Mus musculus: one gene and its partners. The main gene of each other region encodes a partner of the protein of the gene in region 2 in a complex. Links are inferred from orthologs where the notes say so. Each region holds a gene or a part of one and is shown on either strand. Other genes may lie near its edges.

Region 1 (4,038 bases), on a different chromosome or scaffold from region 2:
GGAGACATGTCAATTGGTAAAGTACATGCAGTCATGAGTTTGGATCCCTACTCAAACAATGCAGTGCACAGTGGCCTGCAGCCGCACCTAGTGCTGGCCAACTAGTCTTGTTAAATCCATGAGTTCCAGGCTCAAAAAGCAGAGAGCAATAAAAGATACCTCTAGCACATACATCCACACATATGAGTATGTACAAAGCAACCCCACTCACTCCCTTGATGCAAAAAAGAAAAAAAAAAAGTGAGGCTGAGCACGTCTGTAAATCTCAGGAGGCTGAGGCAGGATGGGAAGTTCAAGGCCTTTACTGGGCTACATAGCAATTTCTTGCCTCAAAATAACAATGCCAGAGCTGGACAGTTCAGTAGTTAAGAAGACTGGCTTTTCTTCCAGAGGACCCAGATTCAATTCCCAGCACCCACATGGCATCTCACAACTGTTGATAACTCCAGTCCCAGGGGATCTGGTGCCCTCACACAAATAACAGTAGGCAGAACACCATTGCACATAAAAATAAATAAATCTTTAAAAAAATTTTTTTTCCATTTTCATGGCTATTAATCTAAACATTGAAGAGGCTCAGACAAGAGGATTTCCATGTGTAAGTCTCTCTTAAAAGACTCTGCCTCACACAAAGGAAAAACAGAGACGGGAGAGGTGGTGGAGTTACAAATCCTTCCTTGCTGCTCTTGCAAAGGACCCAGGTTTGGTTCCCAGCACCTACATGGAAGCTCACAATCACCCATCTTCAGGTGAGCCAACAACTTCTGGCCTGTTTGGGCATTAAACACACACAGGCAAAACACTCAGACAAATAAATCTAAAATAACAACAAAAACTTATTGCCATGGTAGCTGTGTGGTAGAGCAGGTACTTTGATCCCCAACACCATCACGATAGAAGCCTAACAAACCATAAGTCTCACCCCCACCAGCTCTATTCTGGCATGATCTAATCCAGAATGCAAGTCCTTTATCACTCCCCGCCCCCCTCTCATTTTGTTTTTGTTCCCTCTCCTCACAAACGAAGCTCTTCTTAAAAGTCTTAACTCTCCCTTCCTTTTTTTTTTTTTTTTTGGTTTTTCAAGACAGGGTTTCTCTGTGTAGCTCTGGCTGTCCTGGAACTCACTCTGTAGACCAGCCTGGCCTCAAACTCAGAAATCCGCCTGCCTCTGCCTCCCGAGTGCTGGGACTAAAGGCGTGCGCCACCACCGCCTAACCTCTCCCTTCCCTTCCTCTTAAGAGAAGTATTATCTAACCCTATTAACCAGAGCAAGGAGAAAAGGCTAAATAAATAACTCCAGCTCTGAAGAGCTTTCTTTGGGTTGGGTCCTTGACGCCTTGTATATTGTTCTTACTGGCCATCTTCTGAGATGTCTTTTTTAATAACAACTTGAGGAAAAATAGCCTGGGTACTCACAATAATACAACCTTCTATCCGCATATTCACTTGTTCATACAGCCACACCTGAATTCGAGATCTCTGAAATAAAAATAATGACTTTAGAAATGTAAACAAATCCCACTCCATTACTTTGTTTCCACAATAAACGACTTATCTTAAAAATTCCAATAAATATAAGCCAAAAACTAGAACTAGTTAGTCTTCATCTAAGAGCTAGCAACACTGGTTAACCTGCTGAGAAACATTTAATAAGTGCTCGGGCAGGCCTGTCCAAACTAATTTTCCTACTCTGAAAATTTATTTTTGCTTCTGGCATGAATACACTTACAGTTAGAACTGTTCACAGGATAGTACAAAGCGAATCTGGCGATTAAAAATTACAATGGCTTAAAACGATTTTTCATCTGTGTTGTAACACTCTAAAATAAACATCGCTAAAATCTCCTCAAAGAAGAGCATTTGCCACTCGCTTCTCTGTATATAACGCCCCCACTCCCCCAAACCCCGCTTTGGTGTCTTTTCTCCATTCTAAGTCCAACTATGGAAAAAGCACTATGCAACTGTCACTGCTAAATCCGATGACAAATCGTTCTTACAGAGTAATTTTAATAGTAAATATAATTACATTGTTCTTACAGAATAATGGTAACTGTGTGCATCCTTAAGTCAGCACGGACATATTAATAATTAGCGCTTTCCCTGTGACCTTATCCTCAACTCTGGTTCTCCCCCCCCCCCAATTTTTTAGTCTAAGCACTAGAAACAGAGAATTTGTTACAAAGAGTCAAACAGGCCCAACTTTCATTTCAGTAACAGTAAGGAAACAACTTACGTACATTTTGCAAGTATCTGAAGATAAGGTTCTGCAGCACGGCGATCAAGGAAAAGAACTACACAAACAGCGGAGCCTCCGCTCCCAACCGCGCCGGACTCTCCAGCGCCCCAAGGTCCGGCCGGGCTACATCCGCAAGCACAAACGACCGCCGGGAGCATGCGCTCCCTCCCCACCGCCCTCGTTTCTCCAACCTTCCCGATGGCCCACATCCTCCTCTCCTCCTCGGTATCCCCCGCTTTCATCGCGGATCGCCAGCCTGGCCGGGTCCACCCGGAGCCCGCCTTCCGCCTCCCGCCTCCCGCCGCCCTTCAACTCCGCGCGCTTTCCTGCCTCCCCGTTCGCCCCAGGGCCTCACGGGAAGCGGCCCGCAGCGGGCTGCCCGGCTCCCCGCCCACGCTCACGGCGCCTACGGCCCCCAAAGCCCCGAGTTCACGCAGCGTAGGATACGATGGGCTGCACCATCACCTTCTGCACCTTTTGGCCCTGGCCGCGGTACGCCATGGTGGAAGTCACAAAGACCACACGAGTAGGAAGGCCGCCTCGGAAAGCGACTTCCGGAAGCAAGACCCGGAAACGGAAGTGCAGTGGTCGTCGGCGACGCGGGCCGGTCCTGGGGAACGCCTCTCTAGGCCAGGAGCCGCTTTTTCTCTATGCTGATAGACTCCGCCGGCGGCCTTCCGACTCAACCGCTCTTTGAAGTCGAGGTCGGTCCTACAGCGCCACCTGGAGGTAGGCTGAGAGGCTTGCCTCTGCCTAGGTGCTCTTCTGAGAGCTGCTCTGGAATTTAGAGGCGGCATCTTGTCCAGAACCATCTGCAGACTCCCCTTATTTGTTTTGGGCCCCAGAGCTAGTCTAGATGGTCATGCCCGAAGCAGTGGTGGAGTTGTGGCTTGTTCAATAACAGATTCAACCCTCATCACCTTTATGCAGAGTTAACTGTTGCAGTGGCAACTGAAGATGGCAATCTAACTAGCTTGGAGGTATTGAAATCGGCTTGTTGGACTCAGATCTCTCTCAGTTGTGTGACCGGTGATAATTAAGTCATTAGGCCTCAGCATCTCCGTCCCGCAAGGGGACAGGAGGTGAAGATTCAGGGAGGTAGTAGTGCACAGGTGCTCCTAGAACACATCTGTAATCTCAGCTTGTGGAAGGCGCAAGGTGAGTATGACCTTAAGCTAAGTAGTACGTTCCAGATCTAAGCTACATGAGGCCTTGTTTCAAAACAAAACAACCTACATGGTATACAACCTGATAAACTTAAGGTAAGTTAGAAATGTAAGTTAAAAAAAAATGCATTTAATGCAGATACCTTGGGCCCAGGGGAGATGATTCGGTAGGTGGGACATGAGGTCTGTCAACCAGCACCTACACAAAATTACATGCCTGTAATTCCAGAGACAGGAAGGAGGGTGCCTGGGCTGGATGGCCAACTAGTCTAACTTAATCGCCAAGTCCTAGGTTCAATGAGAGACCCTGTCTCAGAAGGTAGGGTGAAGAGTGACTCAGAAGGACACTTGATGACATCCTTTGGCCTCCACATGCACACAGAAAATTGTTGAAAATGTATATGCCTAGTCTACTCAATGCCATCGCTTAGCAACACAACATAGCAGCCTTTCTTGAAGCTGCAGCTGCCCCCCACCTCACCAGAAAGTACCTAGAGCTGCTTACCAGGGAAATGATCAAAATTTAAAATGCAAAGTCTGATTTTTTTTTTTTTACAGAATTCATATTGCTTTCACACCATCTTTAGGATGAAGAATTGTAAGTCAGGAGCTATCTGGATGTGTGTGTGTGTGTGT
Region 2 (4,279 bases):
CTCCACATAGCTGAGAGAGAATGAATAGGTTTTAGGAAGATTTATAACATTCCACGTACAAACATCTGAAGAAAAGAGTGAGCTTGATGAACTCCGAGATGTTAGACATTTCTACAGACGTGAGGGGAGAGGAGATGGGTCAGAAGGAAGCTGGCCCCAAGTGGAAAGGGGATTTGGGGTTAAGGAACACCAGGTGATCAGTACTGGCATTATTGCACCAAATGATATGCACAATGTATCCTTATAAAGCATACATTTTAATGGAGGGAGGTATTTAATTGTTCATAAATATCAATCAAGAACTGTAGATTTATCTTGCCATTACTAAAATTATTTTGAGTAGAAAGTATTAAAATTACCCCTGAGTCACCCTGGTTGGCTTTCCAGCATAAAACAGACAAAATCATTCGAGAGTTGTGTGAACCTTTCTGCCCAGACCTTGGACTAAGAATGTACCTGGCTCTGATTAGCTTAAAATAGACAAGGTATAATCTTATTTGGCTGAAATCTCTTTTTAGGGGGAAGGGAAGGTTCGAGATAGAGTTTGTGGCCCAAACTTGGACCACCATGCCTAGCTATGAAATAACGTTTCCCCTGTTTTATAACCCACATTACAAGGACCTCTGCTTTTCTTAATGTCCAGGCCCATTGTTCTGTTATAAGTCACCCTTAAGCTGCACACTGCAATTCTGGACTTGCCTGCCTCTTTCTTTGGTCTCATTGATCCTTGGGACCAGTTCCCATACATGGGGACAGGGGTGTTTGTTGACAAAATCACGTTCCATGTAAGCAGTTTTGGAGAGCGCAGAAAGCAGTTGTATTTCCTTGCTTTTAGACACGATATTCTCTCTAGAGCCATAAATAATAAATTATAGAATCAAATGATAATAAACTAATATCATCCAAATTCTTTCAAAATTATTTGCACTATGTTTGTAATTAGAGACAAATGTATATGTTGAGTAACTACATTTAACAGTGTGGTTATTGCAAATAAGGTGTTGAATTTTTTGTTTTAACTTTAACTGAAATATCCACATACATTTTTTTAAGTCGAAGGACTTGCTATATATAAAATTTATTTAAAACTCTGTCCTGAGAGTGGTTTTTCTAGTTTTAAGAAGGTACCCTGCATCCCCAAAGGAAAACCATTCTGTCCAAAGATTTGATTGGCTTAGCTTAATGTCAAGCCAAGTAAGGACATCTTGCAGGACCGAGTTCCCTGCTTCCAACATGTGAATCCCAAGTATTAAACTCGAATCTTAGTGGGCTTCTTTCAGAACTTCTCTTCCTTTAACATGTGAAAGTTCCAGGCCTTCACAAGTAGTTTTAATAACTTCGTAACTGGTCTAAAAAAACCTGCAGAAGATGTCGTCCACCAGCCCTCCCGCCCTCCGAAGGTGCAAAGCACTCCTCCCGTCGCTAGGGGCCGCTGTCGCCCTCCCGGTGGCCGGAAGGCAGCGCAGCTTCCGCGTTCTCGTCGCGCGTCCGCAGGCCTCCGCGCGCTTTTCCGGCCATTCATAACCCCAGTCCGTGGATCTCTGGAGCCTGAATTCTGTGAACAGTCGGGCCAGAAGGGAGAACTGCGTCGCTAGGATGAAGCTCGTGAGGTGAGGAGGGTACCCCCGCCGGGCGAGGACGACGGGTAGAGGATTTGGGGTCGGCTCGGGAGGCCGGGCCGCTGTGCTCCCAGGGAGGCGGGAAAGCCGCGTGCGCGCGGCCTGCTAACGGCCTCAGGCCCCCGGGCCCCGCCGCGCCCTGCCCGCCGCCCAGAGCCCGGGCGAGGGGCCAGCGCGCAGACCCCGCCGGTCTTCCAGGAATGGAGGGGCCGAGCCGCCTCTGCCCACCCAGTATCCGGCAGCTTAAACGGAGCAGTGGCCCGTTTTCTTGGCGAATCGGACCATTTGCACTGAGGAGGACTTAGTAGACCTAGCATGGTTTTATCTGCAAATGATGACGCCGATTTGCAAGACGTTTTAGACTAAGATCTCCTTAAATTTGACCAGTTATACGAAGTATGTAAGTGGTTAGTGTAGGCTTCTAACTCAGGAAAGACAAAATGTCCTAGGATGGGGCAGAAGGTAATAAATTAATTTCGCCTGCATAGTTAATATCGGAAGTGGAGCCTAACTAGAGGCATGCTGGTTTAATTCAAATGAACAGGCTTGGGTCAAGCCTGAGGCAGGTTATACAATATCAAGCAAATAACTAGAAATATTTAGTTTCTTGTTGAGTCAAGACTGTTGTAGTTGGCCAGAATGGCATTGAACACCTTCTGAAGTAGTTGTACATAATTCACAAGAATTCTTTTAAAACATTTTTGAAGTTTTTTTAACGGTGACTCATAGCCTGCTTGAAATTGGAAAAAAAAAAATTACTTCAGGAGGAATTTGAGGGAGAAGGCATTTAAGGTTAAAAAAATTTTCCCCTGTTCTGGGGATGGCACGCAGAGAGCTTCTAATAGTCACTTAACCTTGAGCTCAGCCCCAGTTCATTTGTATTTGGACTGTAACCTAGGTAGAATGCTAAGACTTGCCGTTTCTTTACTCCCTGATATGAACTATAATGTATTTACAGTAACATGTTCATCTCATTTAAAGGTTCTATTATGATAACTTTGCCAGCATCCTAGGCAGGTGCTCACTCTCCTGCTGCTGCTGCTTTGATTTGTCTTGGACCCTATTTTGTATAGCGCAAAGTATAGAGATTTCTAATTACAGGAGAATTTTTTTTAAAGATGTATTTATTTTATGTATGTGAGTACACTGTAGCAGTACAGATGTAGCAGTTGGGGCCTTCATGTGGTTGTTGGGAATTGAATTTTGGACCTCTTCTCGCTCTGGCCCAAAGATTGATTTATTATTATAAATAAGTACACTGTAGCTGACTTCAGAGGGTGTCAGATCTCATTACTGGTGGTTTTGTGAGCCACTATGTGATTGCTGGGATTTGAACTCAGGACCTTTGGAAGAACAGTCAGTGTTCTTACCTTGCTGAGCCATCTCGCCAGCCCCCAAGGGAGAATGTTTTTTGCCCTGTGAAAATGGTTGACTGGTTTGCACTTTTGGTGTGGGCTTTCTTATTTGTGCATGAGTTTTGTATTGGACTGTATTGCCTGTATTTATCCCGTTGCCACCTTGCCCAAACTTAGGAAGTGTGCTTAGCTACCTTTCTCTTAATCCTCCTGGCGTCTGGTAAGTTGCCAGGTTTCTTAATTTTTCTAACTGGAGATACTTCTCACTATCCAGTTCTCTTTGGTTTTCTATTCAAATAGGAAAAATTTGGGTACTAAAAGGACCCCATACACTTTACTGTTTGATGTGCCAGTCTCATTAAGAAAAGAATTCACAGCTAGGTGATGGTGGCCCATGCCTTGAATCCTCACACTTTCTCTGCGTTCAAGGCCAGCATGCTGTACAGCGGGAGTTCTAGGACAGCCAGGGCTACACAGAAAACAAAAGTAAGAAGAGAATTCACAAAATGAAGGACTCACTGGAAAATAATTTGAATTTATGTGTTCCTTGGCCTCTTTTTACTTTTATATTGAGACAGGGTCTCACAAGTTGTGCTGCCTGACTTGAAATCACTCTATCTCAGCTGACATTAGATTGAGAATCATCCTGCCTCTGCCTCCTGAGTGCTGGGATTAGAGGCCTTCACTGCCACCAACCAGCATCTCTAGATAGCATAAGGGAATTTTTGTTTCGTTTTGTTTTGTTTTTCGAGACAGGGTTTCTCTGTGTAGCCCTGGCTGTCCTGGAACTCACTCTGTAGACCAGGCTGGCCTCCAACTCAGAAATCCACCTGCCTCTGCCTCCCAAGTGCTGGGATTAAAGGCATGACCACTGCCTTGCTCATAAGGGAATTCTTCAGCAGAATATTTTCTTCACAAAAGGACCCTGTTCTCCCCACCTCCTCCTTTCTGAGTGCTGGAATTAAGTCTTTGCCACCGTGCCTGGCAAAATACTGTTTGTAATGTAGTAGTTTAAGGTTGCTGAAACGTTCAGCCTGTACTTGGTGTGTGTTACTATAGAAAAGTCGTGCTACTTACTTTCTCATGGGAGAATGGAATAGGTAATATCACTCGTGTAGTTTACTGTAGTGGATGTTATAGGAGTGCACAATGGATATTGTAGAAAAATAAGTAGACTGGAAAATCTGAATATGAAGTGTTATTAGATGATATTGTAGATTATCATTCCATTGCCATTTGGCTAAAATAAAGCATGAGTGATAATGTAGAATTCCTGGTGGGTTACATTCCTGAATATTAATAGAG
Region 3 (4,087 bases), on a different chromosome or scaffold from region 2:
TCCATACCTTTAATGTAAAAGTGTTGACTTTCAATCAATCAATCAATCCCTGTTCTGACACTTCATTGTTTTTCTAAGTCCTGCTTTACTCTCCAATTTAACAGTTTTCCTGTAAGGTTCTACCTTTTCATGGTGTTCCAAGCTCAGCATCACTAAACTCTCAAGCTCCAGTTTTTTGGACTGTATTACTCATTCCCTATTCCCTTCTAACTATGTATGTTTTACTTTTTTCCTCTAACACATTTTCTCCAAAATAGGGTCTCAAACATGGGAAAGAAAACTAGCATCAAAACACACACACAGGGGAAAGCAGAGGTTAGTAAAAGCAGATAGCAGAGATGGAGCTGGGTGAAATAGTACCATATCAATGCCCGGTTTAAAAAAAAAAACAACAACAACAACAAAAAACAAACTGAAGTGTGTTGCCTGGTTCTGGTGGCACTGCCTTTAGTCCCGGCACTTGGGAAGCAAGGCAGGTGGATCTCTTGAGTTCTAGGCCAATCTGGTCTATACAGCAAGTTCCAGAACAACCATGGCTACAAAAAAAAAAAATCCTAGTCTGGGGATGGGGACATGTCACCAAAGTGCGGGGGGGGGGGGGGGGGAATCAAGGAAGATGCTGAATGTAAAGCAAACACCCAGATGCACTTTTGCCCCATTTCATCCTCAAGCCTAACATAAGTCCTACTCAATCTCAACAGTTAACACAAGAGGAAACTAAAAGCAAGAAAGGTAAATCTAGGAGAGACAACAAGAGTAAGAGATAAGGCTAAATCTAAGAAATGCAAAACCTTTTTTACAGCCCCCCCCCTCTAATGTTTCTGTAGTACCTTCTAACAACCACTCTTGATAGTCTTGGAAAAAGAAAAACCAATCCTTCCTCACTCTAAATCTAGGGCTTATATTGCTTTCTCACCTAACAGTCCTTCTAACCACTCATATTTTCACCATTTCACACAAAAATCCTCCCACACCCTACCTGAAGAATGAAAGCTAAGCAAAAAGTATTAGAGTCACAGTTTTGGAGAATTTTCAGAGACGAGCTAAAGGGGGAGGGGGGACTTACATACCAGCAGCCAAAAACAATGCTTGAAACACTAAAAGGGAAACCACAACTACCAAAACCAGGAAGTATTTAAAACAGGAGCCCAAAGCATGCAAGCCTCTCCAAGAACAAATTGCCGGCAAGGGAGGAAAACTTATCAGAATGCCAAAATACAAAGAGGTAGAAAATTAGCAAACTAAGATATTCAAGAAACAGCGACCGAGAGAACAGCAATGATCAAGGAAAAGGACGCTGAGTAAAAAATACAGAGAACTCAGAGCTGAGACACTACTGACTGCATAGGCACCATGAAACATACAAGCTACAGTATACATCCAGGCCTAGGCCCCACTCCCACGGAAAAAGGCAATAGTTTCCTTTTGAATCCACAATTAAGAGACATCTTAAAAGAACTGTAAGATGGAAACAGCAAGGAAGAACGTCATCACCAAGTAATGGCTGACTGAAGCCAGGCTATTAAGTCAAGAATTTTTTCCCCATCGAAAAGCTCTAAAAGGCTTAGCTTTAATATTTGAGGAGACCTTTTTAAAAACAGGGTAGGAGCCGGGTGTGGAGGCAGAGGCAGACGGATTTCTGAGTTCGAGGCCAGCCTGGTCTACAGAGTGAGTTCCAGGACAGCCAGAGAAACCCTGTCTCCGGGGAAAAAAAAAACAAAAAACAAAAACCAGGGTAGGAGCCAGACATGGTGTCTCATGCCTTTGATCCCACAGAGGCAGGCAGATTTCTTGAGTTCAATGCTAGCCTGATCTACACGGTTAGTGCCAGACCAACCAAGACTATTTAGAGGCCCTAGCTCATAAAACCAAACCGTAAAAAAGAAATAAAATAACAGGGTTGAAAGGAGCACATTGGTCTTCCTTATACACGCAGGCTGAATACTTTCGCGGTTTTATTATCCTCACTTTTTAAGACTTGGGGATCCCCCACCCCCACGCACACACTCACAGCCTCTGATACTAACGAGGACGAACGGTTTAAATCCTGGCCTCCGAAAGTTCAAGGCCTCCTCCCGCCGCCCACTGGGCAGCCCAGCTTATTTTCGGCCTCGAGGAGGGGGGAGGGGGCCACGCGGCGCCCCGCGGTCTGGGCGGCTCTGGCCGTTTCTCAGGCCCCTAGCAGGGCCCGTGGACCCACGCCGGAGCCGATCGAGGAGAGGTACCAGCAGGTCCGAAGCTCGGGCGGGGGACAAGTACCTCCGCTGCCGCCCTCTCCCCGCCCCCTAAAAGACCGAAGAGGACGACCGCGGAACGACGGCCTCCTCAGCCCCAGGTAGAGCAAAGGAGAGAAGCAGAGCCTCGCGCAATGCTGTCTCACCGGGGGCGCGCGGACGAGACCAGGCGGCCGCGCGCGCCGCGGCCGTGTGGGGGAGGGGCGGAGGAGTTGAAGGCCGCGCGTCCCAGGAACCGCGGGAGGGGGAGGGGAGGAAGGGAAGGCGACCGCGCCGGCCGAGGCGACGAGCACGCGTGCGCGCGGCGGCCTGGGCCGTTCTCCCCGCGCTCTAGCCTCCGGCCCAGCCCGCCGCCCCTCCCCCACCCGGCTAGCGCGCTCCCTTTCTCTCACCCGCCGCCGCCGCCTCCGGCCGCCGACTGTCAAACAGGGAGGTCCCGCCGCAGCTGCTGCTTAAGTTTTCGTATCCCTCGGAGCCTGAAGCCGCCGCCTCGTCGGTCCGCCCGCCTCAGCCGCCGCCGCCGCCGCCTCCTCGCTTCCTCAGGGGCCGCAGCGGGCTTCGACTGCGCCACTCGCACCCCGCCTGGGCAGCGTTGCGCGTCAGCACGACCTAGTGCGTCAGCACGCAATCATGAGAGCCGCTGGGCCCTCTGGGAACCGTAGTGCGTCGTGCGCAGGCGTTGAAGCCACAAGGAGGACCTTAGGCGAAGGGACGTGCTACTGAAAAGTCGAAAAACCCCGAGTCCCGTCGGGCACTGCGGGGAAAGGCGTGGCTCCGTACCGAAGCTGCAAGGTCGGCTGAAAAAAAACTTCTGTAGGAGGGGGGAGGGGCGCGGGGGCCGCAACCCACAACACCCGGGAGTAGCTCAGACGCACGCCTTCCGCGCACAGAGTTCTGGGAGCTGTAGTTCGGTTTTAGAGAGAAAACGCGTAAGACTCCTCCGCTAGGCAGGGTCGCCATTTTATGTGACCGTGTTGGGTGGCAGTGGCTCAGCAGCTTTACCTAGTCACTGTGACCATGGTTTTCTTTAATGTGTACGAGGCCCCACAGCACCGAGTCTTCTTCGCAGGAAGAGGTGCTTCAGAGTCAAGCCACCTGACAGCTCTGGAGCCACTTGAACCCGGCTTCTGGCCCAGTATCCGGTGCTTTCCACAGTTTCCACCTCTGTAGTCCTATCTGAAGTGGGGCTTGCAGACCACTAAAAAATACTTTCTCTTACCTTTGGGCAAAGAGACTAAGTGATTACTTTTCGCCTATAGAGACTATGCCATGTAAGTGGAGGAATGTGAGAATGCAGTTCCATTTCCTGGCCCTATAGCACGGTTCCGGGAGTTTGTCCCAGTGCCTCTCACTCGGTAGCAAGGGCCCCACCACTGAGGCACTGAAAGATCCTGGCAGAATGTAAAAGGACACAGAAGCCCTGAAATTGGCAAGATAGACGTCAGTGTTAGCAGAACTAGCTTCACTGATTTAGAAAAATAGAGGTGCACAATGCTCTGGCCACTCCTTGAACCTGTGTGTCTGCCAATGTTCTGACCAGGTGTGTGCTCATTGCTGCACCTTCATTAGACTCTCCTTGTACCCCTCCATACCCATTTCTTGAGAATAGACATTGTTTAGATCTGGAAATCCCCTAATCTCCCCCTTCTCCTTTCCCCCCTGAGGGCCTATAAAAACTGGAAACTCTTTCCCCTCGAGGACGACTCCTCTACCCCTGCGTGGGATATGAGTTGTCCCCAGAGCTCTGGCTTTCCCCAAATAAAGCCTCATGTGGTTTGCAACAAGCTCGGTCTGTCATGAGTTCTTGGGTGTCCGATATTGTCCTGAGGCCTGAGCGAGGGGCTCCTCTCGGA
Region 4 (3,977 bases), on a different chromosome or scaffold from region 2:
ATCAATCTCACTGTTGTAGAGTTGTTGGGAGTTGCAAGGGACAGGCAGGCACCAGTATTCTTAAAGTAAGTGACCTCACACGGTCTAGGAACTAGCACTTAAGAATGAACCAAAACAGGACAGATTTAAGGGGAAATGATTTTTTTTTTAAGTTAATAAGGTGAACCACAAACCATCAGTGCAAAAGATCACTGTATATTGCTTCTTCCAGAAAGGTCCTGGACTGAAGAAATACACTCCATGAATCACCTCTACTTTCCTTCATCTTTCCAGTCAGCATTTGTTTTGCCCACTTCAAATAAAGCAGCTGATGCTCCAGGAAAAAATGGCTCAAGATTGATTTCATGGATGGTAAACAGCTCCAGAGCCAGATTACAAAGTAACTACACTCCTTTGTTGTAAACAGTGTTACTGTAAACTAGGTGATACTTACAGTTAATATTTCATATCTCCTTGCTGCCAACACTGTGTCTTGTGTGTATGTCAAACTGAATTCTCTCAATATTACAGTAGACATATTAGAACTGAAATAATCAGAAACTTAAGCTGAAGGAAATACGCAGGAAAAACTGTATGGTTCTAGGAAAATATAGTATTACAGATGCTATTCAAGTTTCTGAAGAAATTGCTTATTTTGGATTTGACTGGGTAATCTCTTGGGTCAGCCATTAAACTTATGATCCAAATAACTATATAGAATCAGAATAAATAGAAACTTGGAGTCTAGAAACTGGAAAGAAAAACTTAGACTATTTACTATAGTAGTTGGTAAACAGTAGTTATCATAAAACCCCAGAAAAGTCCTCTCACCTTCATTTTATACACAAATATTTTATCAGGCGACTTTGTGATAAGATAGAACTAATCAATGTCAATACTTTTGTTCCGCTTTCCCTCTGTAAACCTTTTGTAACAGAAACAAGATATTTAAACATGAGGCTTAGTGGTAATTCTTCACAAGGCTGTATGTCAGACTAAATAACACACAAGATACTTAGCACATGATATGCATTTAGTCTTTGTCACTTTGACTGGTATGGCCTATGAAAAACAATAAAAGGATTAATAAAATTAAGGAGCTCTGATGGCTCAGTGGTTAAGAGTACATACTGATCTCCAAAGCACCCATACATTGTGGCTCACAAAGACCTGCAACTCTAGTTCTTCTGGCCTTCTTGTGTAGTGTACCCCCACACATACAGCAGATATTCACACAAACATACATGAACAAACATGAGCAAAAATAAATCTTAAAAAAAAAATCACAGAATGGGATAACATGGGATTAAATTTCATACAGGAAATATTTCAATCAAAGATGATAGACAAGGCAATGGTCCCAAAGATTGTACCACCAGTGAAGTCATAGCTAACTTGAAGTTTCCAAAACCATTTATTATTTTTGGAAGAACAATGAAATCACTGAAGACACACTTCTCAGATTAAATCACCTCGTCGATAAGCAATTTATTGGGGCATACACATAATATGTAAATCGTTTAAGGTCTCTAATGGCATAAGGAAGAGACACAAGAAGAAAACCAATCAGCTATTGCACAGCTCTCCATTTCAGATCAGAGGCCTTCAAGGTTGATTAGAGAATCTGTACAGGTAGCCAAGAGACTAAGGTTAAATGGATGAATCAATGGGTGAATCATAAGAGCAGTGAACTAGGTGTGCTGTGGTGCCTGAACACTAGGCCAGAAATGTTACCTCAAATTTGCAATCAATAAGCCTAAGGAAAGAGAAAAACGGAAATGTCACTCACCACAATCATTCTGCCATCAGAAGTAATAACAGCCACAGTCCCTGAGAACCGAGTCAAGGAACGTATTTCTTAAAGAATACAACCTGAAAACTTTCAGCCTGGAAAGAGTTCCAATTACTTAAAAAGGAAAGAAGAGACAGAATCAAGATTCCACACTGCCACTGCTCTTGAGGGAGAAAACTGAAGTTTTTAAACTTGTTTCAATTGTACCTCGAAAACAGTTCATCACATGGGAGAAGGGTATGTGACCGCTTGACTCTGGTTTAAACAGCAGTGTTTCCAACCTATGACACTGAGTCAGGCAGACTCATTTCTTAAGCTTTAAAATAAAAACTAGGTGAGTGCTAATTAATGTTGAATTACTTTATGCAAGTAAAGGACCTTCTCATCCAAGACTCTGTCATAATTAATGCCATCAAGTACCAATAATTCTTGTATCATTAAAAGCTCTCTGTATTTAACTATGTGTCTTAGGTTTTGCCCCGACTTTAGAACAGCAATTCTAACTTAAAAAATTCAACCGGGCTTTTAAAAGCTACTCGCCACTCTCTAAACACCATGACAAGATTTCAAGCAGAGGTATGGGACCTGAAGCCCAAATCTGAGAAGCATCTATCTGTTGTATGCTATCTCTGCTTGGGGGACCTGCAAACGCAGAGTTCTTAGGAAAACAGTGCATCTTATTCCGGATGTTGGGACACACGATCAAAGGCCGTGTGCAGAGAAGTTCGAACTACACCGAGATCTGTGCTGTGGGTGCAAAAAGCCCCGAGGCCGGCCGGGAGCTCCCTCCACGAACCCCGACCCCGGGTCCTCCGCCCACCGCCCACCACTCCGGGCCTCCCGTGCTCCCTCCCGCCCCCGCCGCCGCCTGAGCGGTCGCAGCAGCCCGCCGGAGGATACGGTTGATGTAGTTCTCCAAAGCAGACGTCATGCTGCTGGGCCCGGAGGTCCCGGGAATCTGCGAGGGCTCGGCAACGAGGAGACAAAACACCGCCCGACAGAAACCCGGACAGCTTCGCGCCCGCTGGCGAACGCAAAGACCGCGAGACTCTGAGGCCTCAGCGGCGACGAATCAGGGACGGAAAGGAGCCGGCCAAACAGGAAGCCGGGCGGGGCTGACTAGTGGGCATGCGCAGTGTGTTTCCGCCGGGCTTCTGGGCGGCGCTCGCACGCCGAGACCAAGGCGGGGACAGGCAGTTTATGGAGAGGTCACTGAAGGTGGGCTGGAAGGAGAGCCTGGAAGGAGGCTCTAGCGGACGGGAAGACACTGTGGTAGTTACTAAAGGTAGTGTGGGAAGACACTTTCTGCCGGAAGACACACGACATGAAGATGGTAGCATTGGCTACTGAAGGAGAGAGATTCTTTGTTCTCATAGGCGACATAGATGCAGGGTGGAGGGAGTTCTAGCTTTCTCACGCGTGAGCCAGAAAAGTTTAAAAAGCCAAATAGCCCAGTACAAAGGGAGCATATTGTAGCTCCATGATGTGCATTTTCGGAGAATCCAACTGTATACAGAATGTTAGTGTTGAAGAATGAAAAATTACTGGCCTCTTGTAAGAACATGAACTTTTTACCTCGGAGCCCACCCCCTCCCATCTAGAAAACATTTTTGAGATAAAGGCTTCCTGGAACAACCTCAAAATGAACCAGGTACTCCTTAGTTACGTAGGTTCCTTGATAGGACATGACTCCTTAGTTACATAGATTCCTTTGGCAGAACTCCCTAGTGATGTAAACTTGTACTTTCCCTGCCCAGTTCTCCCCCTTTGAGTTTTACTATATAAGCCTGTGAAAAATTTTGGCTGACCGTCGAGACTCCTCTACCCTGTGCAAAGGTGTATGAGTTTCGACCCCAGAGCTCTGTGTGCTTTCTGTTGCTGCTTTATTTCGACCCCAGAGCTCTGGTCTGTGTGCTTTCATGTTGTTGCTACTTTATTAAATCTTACCTTCTACATTTTATGTATGGTCTCAGTGTCTTCTTGGGTACGCGGCTGTCCCGGGACTTAAGTGTCTGAGGGAGGGTCTCCCTTCGAGGGTCTTTCATTTGGTGCATTGGCCGGGAAACAGCGCGACCACCCAGAGGTCCTAGACCCACTTAGAGGTAAGATTCTTTGTTCTGCTTTGGTCTGATGTCTGTGTTCTGATGTCTGTGTTCTGTTTCTAAGTTTGGTGCGATCGCAGTTTCAGTTTTGCGGATGCTCAGTG
Region 5 (2,643 bases), on a different chromosome or scaffold from region 2:
TCTTGATTCCTTAAAATCTGTTCTCAAATGACATCTCAGTAAAGTAGCATTGTAAGCATGGTTTTTAAAGTTGTAAACTCTTCAAGCTGGCATAATGTATGCCCTCAAACCTTTGGAAAATGCTCTGGTGAAAAGGGAAGAGGGGTGGGGGGAATGGGGCGCTGAGCAGGATGGGGACGTGATACCACTTGTTTGCCAGTTTATCATTTCTGAAGACACAAAGGGTAATCATCAAGAAAAAGGGGTAAGGGGTAGCGCATAAAGGGAAGGGTAGGAAAGGGATATGGGCAATCTCCGCGCTTCAAGGTTTCTTTGGGACCAGACACACTGTACGCGTGAAGACTATTGAGGTGGGATAATATCATAAAAGTGTGTGTGACGACTTAAGGACTTGCCCTGTGCTTCTGCCCCCATTTCCTATTTATACTCTCACAAAACCTTGATCCACAGAACCCTCTCCTAATAACCTCCCAAAGAACACAGCAATCCATACCAAAGAATAGAGCAAACCCTAAACTTTATATATATATGGTTTTTTAAAAAGGCAAGAAGACATCAACTATCGAAAAGCAGACTCGAAATGCGCATCACTCTCGTGCAGTCTTCTCCCTCGCTTGCCGATGCTGGGATCACTCCTTCTGCACAGTTCACAAGGAGCGGACCCGGACAGTCTCTCCATGACTTGTTCCGAATCCTCCACAGGTACGCAGGTCAGGCGACACAGCCAACACGGAATGGTCGAGATGCAGGAGCAAGGAGGCTCGCAGCCGGCACACGGGGAAGACTGGGCAGCGCTCACCTCAGTTCTCCTCGGGCTTGTCCGCGGGCGGCCCGCTGGGCTGCAGCATTTTCTCCATCAGGTTGAACCGCACGCGGGCTTTGCTCTCGTTCTCGGCAATGGCGAAGTAGTTGAGGAGGTCGAAGTGGCCCATGTAGGAGCAGTAGGAGTCGCGGTGCTGGTTCACCAGCCATTCCCACTTGGTGGTGTCGGCGTGGCCCGTGCCGATGTACTTGGACTGCAGATGCTCCAGCTGGCTGTGGATGGTGTACCGGTCCGTCATCGCGCCGCTCTGCTCGTAGGCTCCGAGGTCAGGACACAGACGAGAAGCTGCCGCTCGCGGCGTTCAAGTGAGAGACGCTGCCGCTGCCGGTGCCGCCGCCGCCACGCAAAACCTCAGTTCGTGCAGGCGCGGGAGAAAGACGCCACCGAGACGCAGGAGTAGACAGTCTTTTCCTAGGCGGAAGCGGAAGTGCCGTCTGTCGCGGGATTGGAGTTGCCTAGGAAACACTGGGCCGTCTCCTCACGGAGCCCGCCTACTTCGAAGAGTGTTGCATGATGGTCCGCTTAGTGGCTCTCGGGTGATCACGTTCTAGTCTGAGCGTTGCATTCTGGAACAAGTAGTCCAAAGAGTTTGTTTTAGGGTTTTGTTTTGTTTGTTTTGTTTTTGCCTGGCTGCTGTAGGACGATGGCAAACGGCCTCTGAGAGTTATCCCACGGCTCTGGGCTACTAAGAAGGGGAAATCCAAGAGGGTTTCAACTACAAGCAACCAGGAAAATTAACTCTTGTACCTAGAAGCTAACGTGGCAGCATGGTTCCCCCGCGGTCCCAGCTTTGTCTCTTAGAATTTGGGCACTGGGAAAAGTATTTTTGGTGATCAGTGTCAGCCCCAGTAGTCTCACTAATGGCTCCCACAACGAGCTCCAGGCTCCCGTTTCTCAACCCATTGAGGGGTTGTTTGCTCTAGGTCACTCAAAAGCTATTCCTTGAAGTCAGATGTGGTTCAAGACTAGATAGATAGATAGATAGATAGATAGATAGATAGATAGATAGATAGATAGATAGATAGATAGATAGATAGATAGATAGAAAGAACACCTCTCTTTCTAGTCACCTGTGTTTTTCTGCTGATTACTGCCTTACGTTGGGGGTTGTGCACTTTCTCACGTTACAAACAACTCAGAAAAGATAATTGTACTTCTTTTATGGTATCCCTTAAGGATACATGTATAGCCTGATGTAGATTGTACTCTCAAAAAACCATTTTAGGAATGGGGTAAGAGCAGTCACAGCCAAAGAGAATGGACAATGACAGACAATTTGAAAATACAGGAGTTTGGGGGTACTTTTGTTTACTTGGTGGGGGGAGGATCTGGCCCTGAGCTCACAGCAATCCTCCTGCCTTTGCCTCCTGAATGCTGGGATTAGAGGTGAGTTCCGCTCCATCCAATATTAATTCTTCTGTTTAAATTTTGTCATAATAAGCATCATGCCAGGTGGTGGTGGCACACACCTTTAATTCCACCACTTGGGAGGCAGAGGCAGGCAGATCTCTGAGTTCAGGGGCAGCCTGGTCTACAGAGCTAGTTTCAGGACAGCCAGGGCTACAAGGAGAAACTCTGTCTCAAAAAAAAATAAAACCAACCAACACCAAGACTTAGACAACATAATACACATCTTATTCCTAAAATATAGAGACTATACGGCAATACCTGTGGATATGCCATCCAGCCATACTATACCTGTCTCTTATTATTTATTTATTGAGACAGGGACTCAAATTCTCTGCACCTGCTTCAGACTTTGAAGTGATCTATCAGAGGCTTAGTCACCTTGTCAGGCTTCATTTTAACCCTTTAATTGT
Region 6 (3,500 bases), on a different chromosome or scaffold from region 2:
AGAAGGGTTACTGTACAATGTTTGTTGTGAGAAGAATTCACTTTGTAAAACAGCTGTTAAGGCTGGAGGTCTAGTGAAGGTGCATAGTTTTGAAAGCTACACAGGTGAAAAAATCAAACTTACTGTTTGTAATTTTGCTGTTACATGTTAAGTTACTTTGACAGCAATTTTCTAATGATAATGTGATTTATGATTTAAAAGGCCTGAACCAAAATGGAAGTTATTCCTTGCGTCTGAAGTATAGCACCATCACCTTATTAGGTCACAGCAGAGTGAGTGTCCCAATGTCGCTCTGACCCAACTCCCTTGATGACGCAGTGTGTGTTTGGAGGTGAGTTGTGTAAAGTGGCCGAACATCAACAACAACAACAACACAAACAAGAGCAATTGGTAAAGCTGTGTACTGCTCTTTAAAGTAGCATTTTGAGGTGGACATTTATTTGAAGCATGAGGGGCGATCTGATTTGACTGGATGTTGCTTTTAAAAGAACTGAAGACTTTAGTTGTAGTTACAAGTCAGTTGCTTACCAGTTAGAATTAAGGCACAGGATTTTATTTACATTGTAGTTAGAAGTTCAGGCAGATGGATTGGCAGTCCTATAAAAGCCAGTTAACATAATTGTTTCTATCTTCCAATATGAAATAATACAAGATGATATAACTGTTTACAATTATTTCTGTTGTAACATAGTTTGCTATTTTGTCATGGTACCCAAAGGACAGTAAAGCCGTACCATAAAACCTTTTGGTAACTGTACTGACGTGAGTTTACTTTTACATTACTCCTGTTCCCAAGAGTTCATGCTTGAATTTTGACAGAACAGTTATCATTCCAAACGATAAGGTATTTCATTTTTAAAACAATGTGGTAATTATTTTGCTTTGAATGTTTTTTAAGACTTAATTTTAAGAAAGGACCTTATGTTTAAGTATATTTATTTATTTCCTTTAGAGACCAGAAACATGGGAGGATGTTTTTTAAATGCTTAATTTACTATTTTATTAGAGAAATGCTTTACTGACTTGAATTTTAGTGAACTTTAAAACCTAAATACCTGGTAGTATTCCCCTGTAGTGAGCATGAGATTAAAGTGTAGAGCTTTTTAAACAATCTTTTCTTTTTTTGTGGTTGTGTACTCATTATTGCTTGTTCGTCTTTTGCAATTTAGATAAATGATATAACATTAAACTCAAGGTGGTTGAGTTGCAGTAGGGAGTCGGAAGCAAGCCAAGGGAACATCTTTCTCTACAGGGGACTTGGCGATTCCAAACCCCCAAGGTTCCAAGAAGACACTGAAGACACCTGGAATCTGTACTTGCTTTGTGCTATTGAGCTGTGCTTGTTATACGGACCTTGTTGCTTGACCAACAGAATCTAGTGTTTAAAAACCCAAATTACTTGTAGAAATCTTGACTCTTAGTTTTGTGGACAGTTGAGCATCTGTGGCATTGTTAGTAACAGGTTGTCATGTGCAGTAGTCAGGCTTTTAGCTTAGTCTTCAGATGTTACAGAGTGCATGCTTAACTCGTTAGTTCTTGTAACTGAGCACTAGATATTAGATAGTTTATAGAAAGTTACCTGTAGTGTAAAGAGAAGTGTTTATGTACGTTTTCAAGTTTTGGTTGGGGCAAGTTTTCCAGCCAAGCAAAAACTGTTAGTAAATGCAAGAATTTATAGATGTTCCATGATTGTTTTTAGAGTTGATAAATGCATAAGCCCACTAACAGCCATACAGTCTAAATACTTAGGAAATCCACAAAGGCTGCTCTAATGCTTTTGGTTCAGTGAGGGAGAATTGGATTATCTAGAAATTACATTACCAAGATGCAACTAGGGAAAACTATTTTTACAGTAGTAGAGCATATATATGTACCTAAGCCCCTTATGGTAGACTTAAATACTAATTTAAATGAATTTCAGATAGGTTGGCTAGTTTCGAAGTAACCTGTTTTTCTTCCTGTCATGTCTTTTTGCAGAACCCAGATTCCAAAATGATGCAAATCAACCTGACTGGGTTTTTGAATGGGAAGAATGCTAGAGAATTCATGGGAGAGCTGTGGCCCCTGCTGTTGAGTGCACAAGAAAATATCGCCGGAATCCCTTCTGCTTTCCTAGAGTTGAAGAAGGAAGAGATAAAGCAGAGACAAGTAATGCTTTTTGTATTGACTTGAGATGTCATACACGGTCGGATGGTTACCCTGAGGGCTTTGTCTCTTTGAGCTACTGTAGCCTCTGATCCGGCTAGGCTAGTTTGCTGGATGTGTCTGCCCACTGAGTTGTGGCTTACCACATTTGAAATTAGAGTGGCGTATTCCCAGAGGCAGTGACAATTGGACAGAGTGCTTTGTTTTTGTTTTTCTCAGTTCTTAAAGTATAAGTGCATTTACCTTAAAAGGGAGTCTAAATAAAGTATCTAAAAAGTGTGTGCAACTTCTCGCACAGGTAGTAATTATAAAGTCCCAAGAGAGTGACTATATAAATGATAAGTGAAATGATATAAATGGTATAAGTTTACATTAATGATAAAGGATAAATGAAAGAGTGTTGTAAGAGTGAACTTGAGAACATGGAACACCTTGCAGCCAGTCACGCCTGTGAAATGGCAGTTGGAGCACCCGTGTCAGTACCTTAATGGATGCTCTTAGTGCTCAACTCTGTGCTTGCAGATTGAACAAGAAAAATTGGCGTCTCTGAAAAAACAAGATGAAGATAAAGATAAGAGGGATAAGGAAGAAAAGGAAAGCAGCAGAGAGAAGAGGGAGCGGTCTCGCAGCCCAAGAAGGTACGGCAGAGCAGCTAGAGATGTGGTGGTGTGTAAGGTGCCTGGGGTCCTTAGGGGTGCTCTGGTCCAAGTTCCCTAGCTAGAAGACCTGGGGAGCACCACTGGAGAGCTGCTGTTTGCTTCTGGGCTAAAGAGAGCTTTTCTGTTGCTAGCCTTTTGGCACGTGTTTTTATATTCAGGAGATTAAGGCAGTGGGGGTGTAGGGGTGGCTTCTTAAGCCTCTGTTCAAAAAAAAAAAAAGACAAAGCCAGATCATTTGACCAAAATGATCACCTCTAATTTAGGTGAGTTACTCATTCTTAAGTAGAAATTTGGATTTCATATTGCTTTGCTTAAGTAAGACATTGGAATTTTTGTTGTTACTGTATTCTGATTATTTCCAGTCCCTTGTATTGCAGAGCTGCTCATTAGCGTTCATGTACTTACCTAATTCCATGTTCTGCTTTTCTTAGATGGTTGTACTGAGCCCAAACTTCAAATCATTTATTTGTTTTCTTCTTTCTTCCAATGAGACTATTGTTAGGTTCACATTTTTAAATCCTCGGTTCAGCTTCTGCTATATTTGTGGTGAAAGGTGAGAATTCCATTAGGCTTTTCATTTTTAGGACTTTAAAAAATAAATCTGTGGGGATTTGTAATGAAAAGAGGAGGTAATATTTTTGTTGTTTGTGCTGAGTTGGAAAACCTAGAGAAGCAGTGCCTCTAAAGGCTGAGTGT
Region 7 (3,500 bases), on a different chromosome or scaffold from region 2:
CCTCCGTCTCTTTTTTTCCTCCTCTGTCCCGTCCTCCCTGTCTCCCTCCAGCCTCCCTTCTTCCCTCTCTCCTCTCCTGTGGTACTTGTTGGATGTAGAACTTAGCACATGCTAGGCAAATACCCTGCTGCCACTCCCTTTTAGAATTCCACTTTGAGACAATGTCGTGGTAGATTGTCCAGCTAGCCTTGTACTCTGTTCTTCTGCCTTAGTTTCCTGGGTAGCTACAGTTAAAATATGTACTATCATGATTGTTTAATCAAAGCCCTTGAGGGCCACTAGTCCTGTGTGTGCTTTCTCTCTAGGGCAGTACCACTGTCCAGTGCTGTATTCCGTGTTCACTGACAACACCCATATTGTGGCCATCAGGACAACTGGCAATGTCTACACCTATGAGGTAGACCCCCATTGCAATGAGTGGGACTATCTAATGTTGGGCCCGAACGTGTGCCTGGCTGAGTGTTGAGGTTGAACCAGGAACAGTGAGCATGCCTGTCCTCATACCTTTCGTAGCCTCTAGCACAAGACATTATCTCTAAAATAAAGGTCAGGTGACTCTAGTGGCCTTTGGACCTCAAACCCAGGCTGGCAGTTTGGGCTGCCTAAGCAAGGATTCCTTGTAGCCTGGAAAGTATTACCCTCTCTTCAGCATGGACCAGACTCTGGAACAAACATGGGAGTAAAGGGAGATAAAAAGAGGCCAGGTTCTTAGGACAGGGGCCAGGTTGGCAGGAGGGACATGAGCTGTCTCCATTCCTGGCTCAGTCTAGGATGAGGACAGGCATGATACAGGAGGGCCCATGTTGGAACTCTTGCCAGAAGCGGCCAGGTTGGTTTGGCTAGTCTCTGCCAGACAGGTGAGAACTCTTGAGACTACCCCAGAGTGGCCCTGTGTGCTTGTTTACCTCATACCTCTGTGCCGGCCCAGAGGAACTGTGATATCTCTGTACTGCTCTAGGCAGTGGAGCAGCTAAACATCAAGGCCAAGAACTTGCGGGATCTGTTGACTGATGAGCCCTTTTCCAGGCAAGACATCATCACCCTGCAGGTAAAGAGCTTCACAGGAAGTGCCTTGCCTTGACCCTCCGCTCTGCCCTCTGCTCTGCACTCTGCCCCCCAGCTTTCTTCACCAGGCTTGGTGGTCACCTGTACCATAACACCCCTGCCTGCTGCTACCCAACTATTGCTTAGTGCCACCCCCTCCCCCTACAGCCACCATGGACCATGACTGCCTCTGGCTCTCATGGCTCCTGTATGAGGGCTACACTTGCCTCATAACTCTCTTAGGTGTTAGGACACTTAGGCTGCTTTTCAGGTCCCATCCCTACTCTCAGAACAGCAGCTACACAGTTGTCCCCGTGGTGGTGTGTGAATGGCCTCGAGGGAGCACAGGCTAGGATAGGGTTAAACGACTCTGTGGTTGTTACTGAAGCTTGGTCCAATGGCTTCCCAGTCCACATCCTGTGCTACCTGGCAGCAAGCCTCATTCCTTATTTTTGAGGCCTAAGGCAGGGCACACTGCTTGATGAACAGGTAGGCAGTCTGTGCCATCTTGCTTGTCACTGGGTTGGGGCACAGCCTTGGCCTCCTTCCAGCCTTCAACATCTGGCACAGGTGGGTGAAGTGCTTGACACAGTCCATTGTACTTCTGAGTGTTCTCTTCTTTTCACAGGACCCCACCAATTTGGACAAATTCAATGTTAGCAACTTCTTCCATGTGAAGAATAACATGAGAATAATAGACCCAGGTATGGACACCTAAAGGCTACTGTGAGTGACTACATGTTCTCGGGCAAGTCCTTCCTTCTGGGGGGCCCAGACACTATGCTTCTGAGTGGCTTTTGACTATCATGACATTTGCTGTATAGATGAGGCTGTCCTTAAATGTGCAGCATCCTCCTGTGTTTCCCTTCTAAGTGCTGGCATTACAAGCGTACACAACCATGTCTGTCAGACGGTTAGAGAAGCAGCTGAAACACAGACACCTACCTTTCCCTAGCTCTGGTGGGACTGTGCTTTCTGGATTGCCGTTGGCCACTGTTCTTTCCAGGGTACAGTGACAGGGCTGCAGGTGAGACTGGGTGACATGAGACTTGTCTAGGGCCCTGACCTTCCTGCTTCCTGTGCTTGGTCCACACCATTGACCACACTGTAACATACTGTAATGTACTATAACATACTATGCAGTGGCTCAAGTTTCTGAGCTCACTTGTGCCATGCCAAGGAGCCAGCTACACACAACTCAGGGATAACTGCGCTCAGGAGACCCAGAGGCCAGGCCTAGGGAAGCTCACTGCCCAGTAAGTTACAGCCTTTGGCCTAGCAGGCAACATGTGGCCTTCCTTCCCTTGAAATAAACACGTTTAAATTCACAAAAGCAAAACATCATTGTGAAAAGGCTGCAGTAGAGGTAATACAGGAAACAGGGTGACTCCCACATCCCTTCAGGCCTGGGGCCACTCACCATGACAGCGTCTTCTGTGTGCTCCACCAACCCCCTTGTTGCACCTACTAGAGCTCCTGCCAGATGATCAAGGGCAGTAAGTCATGGCTGTGCTAAGACCAGCGAACCCTGCCCTAATCAACTCACCTGTGGCTTCTTCTCATGTGGCCTTCCCCATCTCTATTCCTATTAGCTCATCTTGAGGCTCTTTGGGGCCTTGGTTTTCTGGGGCCTTGGCTGCTCCGTTCCAATATACTGTTTTATAGATGAGGAAAAGGCCAAACAAGACCCATCTTATTATTTGAAAAACACAAATTCGGAGACGAGAGAGACGCTACAGGAGCTCTACAAAGAGTTCAAAGGAGATGAGATTTTAGCAGCTACCATGAGGCCACCTGAGAAGAAGAAGGTGGACCAACTGAATGCGGTGAGTGGGGCACTCTGCCTGACCGAGAAAGATCCCAGGGGAGGTGCTCACGGGGCCTAGATGCATTTGCTGGCATGGTGGCAGGGACCTTCCCAGTGCTGTTGGGCCCTCCAGGGCTGCTGGGGTGACTGGGCCCCAAACAGATCAGGAGGGAATAGCACACTCTTGGGGTGGAGGAATGGTTGACAAGCTGGGGTCCCATGGCAACAGTGGCTCAGCAGAAATAGGGCTGCCTTATGCTACTGGCCCTGACACAGGCTTCAGTGACCAATGTTCCCGCTTTCTTTGGTGTTCCAAAGGCAGCTTTTACATTTCAGGACAGAGATAGGAGGGTGTGCAGATCTGTGATGGCAGGGAGGGCTAGGGTTGCTATAGCTACTAAGGTCTCAGCCCTTACCTGGGCCCTACCGGGGACGAGCATGCTTCTCTGCCCTATGCCGTAGCTACAGCTGTGGTGCTGGAATTTCTTTAGCACATTTAGCCGATAGGTGCTGTCTTTCTCCCAAGTAGACTGAAGTCTGGAGAGCCTGAGCCATGGGGAAGGCAGAGGTGGAGTCTCCCACATAGGGATTTTCTAGGAAAATGTGGAAAACCAAAGTTCATCTATAATTTCCCAAGCTGAACACAGCT

What was found.
Region 1: Snrpd1 (region 2) and Snrpe share a complex: the UniProt entries of both Homo sapiens proteins name them as parts of the SMN-Sm complex. The link is inferred for Mus musculus from reciprocal best matches to the Homo sapiens genes SNRPD1 and SNRPE.
Region 3: Snrpd1 (region 2) and Srrm2 share a complex: the UniProt entries of both Homo sapiens proteins name them as parts of the minor spliceosome. The link is inferred for Mus musculus from reciprocal best matches to the Homo sapiens genes SNRPD1 and SRRM2.
Region 4: Snrpd1 (region 2) and Lsm8 share a complex: the UniProt entries of both Homo sapiens proteins name them as parts of the U4/U6-U5 tri-snRNP complex. The link is inferred for Mus musculus from reciprocal best matches to the Homo sapiens genes SNRPD1 and LSM8.
Region 5: Snrpd1 (region 2) and Sf3b5 share a complex: the UniProt entries of both Homo sapiens proteins name them as parts of the minor spliceosome. The link is inferred for Mus musculus from reciprocal best matches to the Homo sapiens genes SNRPD1 and SF3B5.
Region 6: Snrpd1 (region 2) and Srrm1 share a complex: the UniProt entries of both Homo sapiens proteins name them as parts of the minor spliceosome. The link is inferred for Mus musculus from reciprocal best matches to the Homo sapiens genes SNRPD1 and SRRM1.
Region 7: Snrpd1 (region 2) and Ppil2 share a complex: the UniProt entries of both Homo sapiens proteins name them as parts of the minor spliceosome. The link is inferred for Mus musculus from reciprocal best matches to the Homo sapiens genes SNRPD1 and PPIL2.

Annotation. Positions count from the first base shown.
Region 1 is NC_000067.6:133,607,481-133,611,518, forward strand, and holds the start of Snrpe (small nuclear ribonucleoprotein E), read right to left. Parts: upstream 2,801-4,038; 5' UTR 2,738-2,800; coding exon 2,684-2,737; intron 2,265-2,683; coding exon 2,238-2,264; intron 1,480-2,237; coding exon 1,417-1,479; intron 1-1,416. UniProt on the Homo sapiens protein: Plays a role in pre-mRNA splicing as a core component of the spliceosomal U1, U2, U4 and U5 small nuclear ribonucleoproteins (snRNPs), the building blocks of the spliceosome.
Region 2 is NC_000084.6:10,616,317-10,620,595, forward strand, and holds the start of Snrpd1 (small nuclear ribonucleoprotein Sm D1), read left to right. Parts: upstream 1-1,479; 5' UTR 1,480-1,596; coding exon 1,597-1,610; intron 1,611-4,279. UniProt on the Homo sapiens protein: Plays a role in pre-mRNA splicing as a core component of the spliceosomal U1, U2, U4 and U5 small nuclear ribonucleoproteins (snRNPs), the building blocks of the spliceosome.
Region 3 is NC_000083.6:23,801,938-23,806,024, reverse strand, and holds the start of Srrm2 (serine/arginine repetitive matrix protein 2), read right to left. Parts: upstream 2,801-4,087; 5' UTR 2,627-2,800; intron 2,371-2,626; exon of another isoform or gene 2,028-2,370; intron 1-2,027. UniProt on the Homo sapiens protein: Required for pre-mRNA splicing as component of the spliceosome. As a component of the minor spliceosome, involved in the splicing of U12-type introns in pre-mRNAs.
Region 4 is NC_000072.6:18,847,458-18,851,434, reverse strand, and holds the start of Lsm8 (LSM8 homolog, U6 small nuclear RNA associated), read right to left. Parts: upstream 2,801-3,977; 5' UTR 2,703-2,800; coding exon 2,672-2,702; intron 1,810-2,671; coding exon 1,769-1,809; intron 1-1,768. UniProt on the Homo sapiens protein: Plays a role in pre-mRNA splicing as component of the U4/U6-U5 tri-snRNP complex that is involved in spliceosome assembly, and as component of the precatalytic spliceosome (spliceosome B complex).
Region 5 is NC_000076.6:13,007,041-13,009,683, reverse strand, and holds Sf3b5 (splicing factor 3B subunit 5), read right to left. Parts: upstream 1,235-2,643; 5' UTR 1,062-1,234; coding exon 801-1,061; 3' UTR 501-800; downstream 1-500. UniProt on the Homo sapiens protein: Component of the 17S U2 SnRNP complex of the spliceosome, a large ribonucleoprotein complex that removes introns from transcribed pre-mRNAs.
Region 6 is NC_000070.6:135,343,147-135,346,646, reverse strand, and holds part of Srrm1 (serine/arginine repetitive matrix protein 1), read left to right. Parts: intron 1-201; exon of another isoform or gene 202-1,977; coding exon 1,978-2,148; intron 2,149-2,667; coding exon 2,668-2,783; intron 2,784-3,500. UniProt on the Homo sapiens protein: Part of pre- and post-splicing multiprotein mRNP complexes. As a component of the minor spliceosome, involved in the splicing of U12-type introns in pre-mRNAs. Involved in numerous pre-mRNA processing events.
Region 7 is NC_000082.6:17,094,253-17,097,752, reverse strand, and holds part of Ppil2 (RING-type E3 ubiquitin-protein ligase PPIL2), read left to right. Parts: intron 1-305; coding exon 306-397; intron 398-958; coding exon 959-1,048; intron 1,049-1,672; coding exon 1,673-1,748; intron 1,749-2,709; coding exon 2,710-2,870; intron 2,871-3,500. UniProt on the Homo sapiens protein: Has a ubiquitin-protein ligase activity acting as an E3 ubiquitin protein ligase or as an ubiquitin-ubiquitin ligase promoting elongation of ubiquitin chains on substrates.